Drosophila melanogaster: one gene and its partner. The protein of the gene in region 2 interacts with the protein of the main gene of each other region in a pairwise test. Each region holds a gene or a part of one and is shown on either strand. Other genes may lie near its edges.

Evidence for each region. Proteins that work in one complex are often made in the same cells at the same time.
Region 1: the proteins of nau (region 2) and Hand interact in a two-hybrid assay, tested with the Drosophila melanogaster proteins (one study listed by BioGRID).

Annotation. Positions count from the first base shown.
Region 1 is NT_033779.5:10,293,509-10,297,267, reverse strand, and holds the start of Hand (hand), read left to right. Parts: upstream 1-1,882; 5' UTR 1,883-1,968; coding exon 1,969-2,059; intron 2,060-2,208; coding exon 2,209-2,405; intron 2,406-2,638; coding exon 2,639-2,794; intron 2,795-3,759. Other genes in the region: CYLD (cylindromatosis), read left to right, coding at 1-52, 112-330, 409-643, 703-844, 900-1,096, 1,158-1,351.
Region 2 is NT_033777.3:23,716,630-23,720,388, forward strand, and holds the start of nau (nautilus), read right to left. Parts: upstream 1,729-3,759; 5' UTR 1,328-1,728; coding exon 800-1,327; intron 1-799. Other genes in the region: CG10232 (uncharacterized protein), read right to left, coding at 2,847-3,246, 3,311-3,759. UniProt on the Drosophila melanogaster protein: May play an important role in the early development of muscle.

The DNA.
Region 1 (3,759 bases), on a different chromosome or scaffold from region 2:
CACTTTCACCAGTGTTTTCGATTCAATTCTGTACAGACGTCCGGGCCCACAAGTAAGTTATTCGATTTGTCTGCCCAGCTCACCAATAACAAATTATTTTATTTTCAACAGGATATTCGAAATTACAGTGAGGTTCAAAAGGTTCTGCGCGATGAGATCGTCAATCCATTGCGAAAAAACGTTTTCGTTCGATCCGATCGTGTGATGAAACTGCGCGAGCTCCTAGATCAGCTAAGTTCGGTCAGCGGTCTCACCTGCGAGGAAAAGGATCCTGAAGAGTTCCTAAATAGTTTGCTCTCACAAATAATGCGAGTTGAACCGTTTCTAAAGGTGCTTATTGTACTCATTATTGCATAGATTTTTATACTAAATAATTTACATGTTTTTTTTTTTTTTTTTTTTTTGTAGCTAAGCTCGGGGCAAGATTCTTATTTTTACCAACTCTTTGTGGAGAAGGATGAGAAGTTAACATTACCGAGTGTGCAACAATTGTTTGAGCAAAGCTTTCACTCATCGGATATAAAACTAAAGGAGGTTCCTTCTTGTTTCATCATTCAAATGCCTCGTTTCGGAAAGAACTACAAGATGTATCCAAGGATATTGCCATCGCAGGTTCTTGATGTCACAGACATAATTGAAAATTGTAGGTGTTCAACAATATAACAATTTGCATTTCGAATCTTAACAAAATTCAACTTGCAGCTCCTCGACAGTGCTCACTTTGTGGCAAACTAGCTGAATACGAGTGCCGGGATTGCTTTGGCAGCTTGCAGGCTGGATCAGGACTGGAATGCACCGCCTTTTGTCCAAAATGTCTCAAGACATTTCACAGTCACATCAAAAGGTCAGCTATCTTCATAGATAAATGAATGAAAACCAATTAAAAACCTATCTTTCAGAACGAATCATGTGTCGAAGAAGATTTATAGTCCGAAGGAATTTAAAATCATGGCCGAGCACATGGTTGTCCCGCGATTGTACATGGAGTTATTTGCAGTCGTTTGCATAGAAACATCTCACTACGTGGCATTTGTCAAGTCTGGATCCGGACCAGATGCTCCATGGTGTTTCTTCGATTCAATGGCTGATCGAAAAGGCAAGCAAAATCTTAGTTTTAACCTAACAAGTTTCTTATACTTACGCAAATGTTATTTCAGGCGAACAGAATGGATACAATATACCTGAAATTACGTGTGTTCCAGAATTAACACAGTGGCTCTCGGAAGAAGGCGCACGATCTATAAATGAAACTTCAACGAACGATAAAGTATTACCTGAACACGCCAAGCGTATTTTTTGCGATGCCTATATGTGTCTGTACCAAAGCACAGATATAATGATGTACCATTAGAGCAAATTTATCAATAAATTAAATGAATGCAATAAAATTTTTGTAAAAATCACATGTGAAATGGATTTTGTGCCTATTAATGGTTATTGGTTTGTTGAAAAATATGTTTTATGATATTAATATGGGTAGGCTTTACATATATAACAGGAAAAAATAAAGATAGGTGGTTTTCTATAACTAATATACCAAGTAGCTTATATTTTTTTTACAAAAAGTTTGTAACAATTAGGAAGTGCTTTTTGTTAGGAGAAGTTTTCAAGGTGACTCCAGAAACAGGACTGAACCATCTAGAGAACTACGGATCACTAGACCATGAAAGGCAGTTCATATTCCGGATATATATGGATGTATGTATACACGGGAGTACATACATACATATAAATCTTGAAGTGCCCACCATTGGTCGACGCAAAACGTCGGCGATTGCGATTGGTGGATTTGGAGGGAGGATATCCAGATGTTGTTCACTCGACGGCGCACATTCACTAAACAAGTGAAAAAGTTTTTCAGTTACTTGCCAGACATCAAAGACGAGTTTTACGTGCGACGCACTATCTGCGAAAATGTCGATCTTAAGCCGCGAATTTGATTTGAATTTAATTACGTTAAATTAGAAAATGTTTAAGAATTCCGTTGCCTTGACGTGCGAATACTCAACCATGTATTATAACTCAATTTATAATACTTCCAACATGTTCGACATGAAACGTAAATGTTTAAATCATTCTTCTTACTTCGCTGTTATTTAAATAAAATTGGGACAGTGATTTGTGGTACCAATTCCAGTACAAAAGCGACTTTTATTTTATATTTTCGTGTGTATGGAAAATAATGTATATATTTTCCAAATATTTCAGACTCCGAAAGTCAAGTTCAGCAACAAATATATAACACAAGTCACCTAGGTTATGTGCCAACTTCGAATACTCGGATTGTTAAGAAACGTAATACAGCTAACAAAAAGGAGAGAAGGCGAACCCAAAGTATAAACAATGCGTTTTCCTATCTGCGAGAAAAGATTCCCAACGTTCCTACAGATACTAAATTATCAAAGGTAACTTCACCGACGGATAGATAATCTTGAATTTAATACTTAAATACACCAATAAGCACATGAAGGTTGGATTTTAATGTTTCCTACTTAAGTCAATCTTAACTATATTCTACTTTTACTTTGTTTAAGAATTAAGATAAAATAGCCAGCGAAAAATATATTTTATAATAACTTATTCAATTATTTATAAATTTGAAGTTTGTTTGTGTCCGTTTGCTTGGTTTACTTGACAGATTAAAACATTGAAGTTGGCCATATTGTACATAAACTATTTAGTTAATGTTCTTGATGGAGATCTGGATCCAAAAGGCGGATTTCGAGCCGAACTTAAGCCGGTCAGTCGAAAGATCTGTAGCGAAAAGAAGCACTGTTTGAAATCAGAGATTCAAGTAAGAGAGTAATTTACTTTGTCATGCTTTCAATAACAAACCAATCACTACATATATTTAAATTGATCGCTTTGAATTTTGGATTTAAGTTTATCCGGCGGAATAACAATTCATACATATTTTTGCCGCTTTTCATGCATTCAAACAAAAAAATTATTAAAAATCTTTTTTGTTTTTACTGTAGGTAAATGAGTTAAGATACCATAACCTAATTGATATTTCATTCAAAAAACATATTGGCTTGCTGATTTTTGTTGTACAAAGATATAGATAAAGACAATGTTCCCGCTATAAGGGGCGTATTGTTTGTTTTTTTGCATTGATATATAGTTATAGTTCTACTATTCTATTTGGCTTTTTCATTTCGTTGAGATCTCTGCTCGGAATTTGTATTTTTATGGTACACAAGATATTTTCTCCCCCTTTTTCTGCACTGGGGCGTAGATATCTCAATTGTTTGTTTATTATAAGAAACAAAAGCACTTGACTTTATAAAAGAGCATTTTACGTTTTTCCCTCAAAGAAATAGGCGTAATTCCATTCCCCTTGTAATCCGCAGATAAAAACTCGATTGATTGTAGATATATTCCTAATGGAAGTGCGGTGCCATGTTTAGCTTCAAAAATCGGGTTTCGAAATATATGTACACAGGTCCAGTGACCAGTTGTAAGTTGTACTTTATTGTGCAATTTCGGAAGTGATAAACCGCAGACGCCTGCATCCGTAATTGAGAATCCATGCTAACCAACCGCCTCCTTCATAAAATGGGGGTGAAATAATGGCTGGGAACACTTATTTAATAGGGCAATCTGGTTTTAGATATGAACACAAGAGACAAGTGTCTAAGTGGTGCTTCAGAAACATTTTAATCCATTAGGGGTTTGATTAATTAAGTGCCTTTTTGGAAATATTGAAGTTTTGAAGTATTCTTTTTTATTAAAATTTTTTGAACCTATAAGCTTTGC
Region 2 (3,759 bases):
TGTGAACGGAATAATAATCAATTAATGGCCATCGTTGAAATCATGGAAATCCATTAGGCGTGCCATAAAAACACAGAACACGCGGCGTGTTCCCCTTTTAAGTGGCTCTTTAATAAAACATATTTTAAATTAAATAGAGCATAAAATTTTCAACAATTAAGCCGTTCGCCCGTCGTCTGTCTCTTTATGACAGCCCCCCATCACCATACCCCTTCTAACCGGAGCTCCCACGATTTTCCGCCTTTCACTAATGTCTCTATGTGGAGCTATAAATACGTGTGGTTCATCCAAAACTTTTACGACCGTCGAACTCATAAATGCCGCTGTTTAACTCTTGGTCTTGGCAAATGTTTATGTTTTACGCATGTTGGGTGGTTTCCCTTTCTGCGCGTTATGTCAATGGATCCGATCCTCCCTGGTGGCGATGTGTTAATTTGTGGGGTGCTAGCCGAGCTAATGAAATTACTACAAAGTTGCAGTCCTTAAACGCAGGGGACTTGCGAACTGTGGCGTAATCTATTTTTAAGATCGACCGAGGATTAATAAGCCTGCTGATGGAAAAGGACTCTTGAACAGAGTTCTGAGTGGTATGCCTATATTCAAGTCCCCATAAGCAGTTTTAAGTTATTATTATAATAATGAATTGAATGAATCAAAAATCTACTTTTAAAGTGAACCATTCTTTTAATGAATGATTGAAAGATGAAAGTGCTGTATTTGTATCAGTAGTTATTGCACAATATGTTTTTAATATTTGATAAATCTGAAAATGTGTGTAATGTGAGCATGGGATGCCTACCTTTCGCAGTCTCCGGCGTTCCCTCATAGTGGCCGCTTTCCGACGGTCCACGGTGACGCTCTTCTTTTTGCACGCCTTGCAGGCCCAGGTGAGGCATGGTCTGGAGGATTGGGCGGAGGAGCAGACGAGGGGCGCCAGGACGTGCTCCTCGGAGCTGAGACTGCTGTTCTCGTCATCGTAGTCGGTGGTGTAGATGGGCGACGGTGTCATATTCATGCCCAATGGCTTGTCCAGCTCAACCGGATTATGATTCGCATGACTGTAGTTGCAAGACGAACCCGATCCGTTGGCTGAGATGGAAGCCGCTCCACCATTTCCCGCACTCGCATCACCGACGGCATTGAAGCGGCTAAAGAAATTCTGCAGTGTCTGGTGTGGATTCTGGCCGGGATGGGCTATCGGATTCTGTTGGCTATAGGCGCTAAATCCGTATCCAGGATGTGTCGGCTGACCATAGCCATTGTGGTACTCCTGCTTGATGGTTTGAGCCGCAGGCATTTCACTGCTGCCACTATTATACTTGGTCATTTTTCACTTCACTACGATTTTGTTATATTTTACAAAACAATTTTGGTAGTTCAACAAGTTGCTGAATTTAATTGCTGATACTAATTACGATGGCACAGTTAATTTAGTCAGTTGATTATTACCATTTTTAACGTGGTTTAAGCTCTTTTTCTAGGTATGCTAGGTCATTAACACAAATTTATGAGTTATGGTTACACACAAGTTTTAGGCTGTGGTTTCTATTTAATTTAATTTGTTATAGTTTCACTTTCGGGATTTTTAAAATAGAACCTTAATTAGTTGGTTACACTTTAATGATGCTTTGTAAAAACCTCCGACATTTTCAAAAATATTTTTCGACTTCGATTTGCGGACCGTACGCGAGTGTGTGTACCGCCTTCCGTCGCAATCGCAACACATTTGGTGACAATATCCAAGAATCCAAGATATCGTGGGCCCCCAGATGTGCTCGCGATCCTCTCGGAGTGCGGATGCTGCTGCGTTTTGAGTGGCTGAGTGGCTCTCGAGTGGTTCCTATTTTTAGAGGCGCCCCGCCATTAGACGACATTGGCGGTTCTCTAAGGCAGAAGGACGCTGCCGCAGGCCACGCCCCTCCCCTTTTTTTTTTAATTTTCGTGAGTTTTCAACGCGATTTTCCGCTCAATGTGAAGCGTGTTTGTGAAAGGCTTAGTTCAAATCAAATAAATTGAATTTTACCTGGCCAGCGATTAGTGTGGGTTGGTGGGGGAGGTGGTGGCATAAATTAGCTTTCGGGGAGCTCAACAATTCGTTAATGTGACACATTTAGTGGAAAATCCGGCCCCCCGTCCACAGATCCCATCAATGGCAGCCACTTTTCTATTGAGTTATAGTTGCAACGGCCGAGAAAAAAGCGAGAAATTGAGCAAAAAAATAAATAAAATAGGAGAGGCCGAAATAAAAATAGTCAAAGAATTGTGTTTATTTATCGCTGCTCAGGCACAATATATATCTTTGGAAATCACCTTTAAATCTTCCCCAGCGATATTGTAAATCTTTTGTCTTAGGACCGTGGTTTGCTCGAGCACTTTCCATCTTCATTTTTCCACTTTTCCCTTCTCGTCTTTTTCCATTTCGTATTTTCTCCTCACATTTTCCATCTTGCCGTACTTTGATGGATGCTTTGTTTTGATTCGGTCTGATGGTATTTTGGTGGCAAAGACTATTTGTTGTGCCACACGATAATCCCAATTGTAAATTTAATCATTATCGGCCTTTGTTTTCGGGCAGTGTACTGTCAACGCACAAATGTAACTCAGAAAAGAACGTTTAAAAAATCAAAATCATTAAGTAAATTCGATTTATTGTGTTATTAATTTAATCAAATAAATAAAATACATATTAAAACTCATTCTTATGTGCATATTTGATTTTACTGGCTACTTGATTGAATTTTCCATAATTCCATAATCCACAAAAAAAACACATTCACTCATACAAACAAAATGCATTCACATATTAACAAACACCATACACTAGTCGAGATTCCTTAGCAAGAAAGTTATGGCTTCAAATTTGCCTTTATCCATGAGAAAAATGCTCCAGTCTTTGTGTAAACACCTGGTTTTCTATCTCCGCAATTCTCACTTCCATATGAAACGATACCGGCCAGATATACGATATCCTGGTAATCATTATTAAGGGTTAACATCAAGGGACCTCCGGAATCACCCTCACAGGAGTCTTCTCCTCGAATGCCAGAAGCACAGATTTGTGATTCGTTGCGGAAGAACGATATCTTGTCTTGGCAATAATATCTGTTTTCATAAACGGTGTTATGCAACAACACCTGACTATATTCTCTGTTTTTCGTGTAGCCCCAACCGGCGATTTGCAATGGGTGATTATGCAAGGGGATGGGATCTTTCGGCACACAAATCGGTAGAATTTCGTGGGTATATCTAAGGAAATAAAAACTTTGGTTCATAATAGTCAGAAAATGATGCCTTATATTGCAATACTCACCGAACTGGCGTTTGAAGACGCACCAAGGCGATATCGCTTTCAAACCTTGAGGTGTTGAAATATTGTTCGTGGACATTGAAATACTCGATGCCGATCTCTACAAAGGGGGCAGCGCAGTTTCCTGTAAAGTCGCAATCCGGATTGGTGGTAATATCATGCTCGCCCAGCCGCACTCTCCTGAGCACCAAATCTGTGTTCACCATTTTATCCTTGACCACACAGTGTGCAGCGGTGAGGACGTAGCGTTTGTTAATCAGGGAGCCACTACAGTTGTTGGTCATGGTCGATAGTCTGCGATTCTCGTAGATAAGCATGGCCATCCAAGGATATTCATTTGGCCTCGCCGCTGTGCCATATGCCATTCGATAAAGAGGCGGAGCTTGTCCACAGGACGTTGGTAGAACGTTACCTGGTTCCGGGCAGCAGATGTAGTGGCGCTTATCCGAATC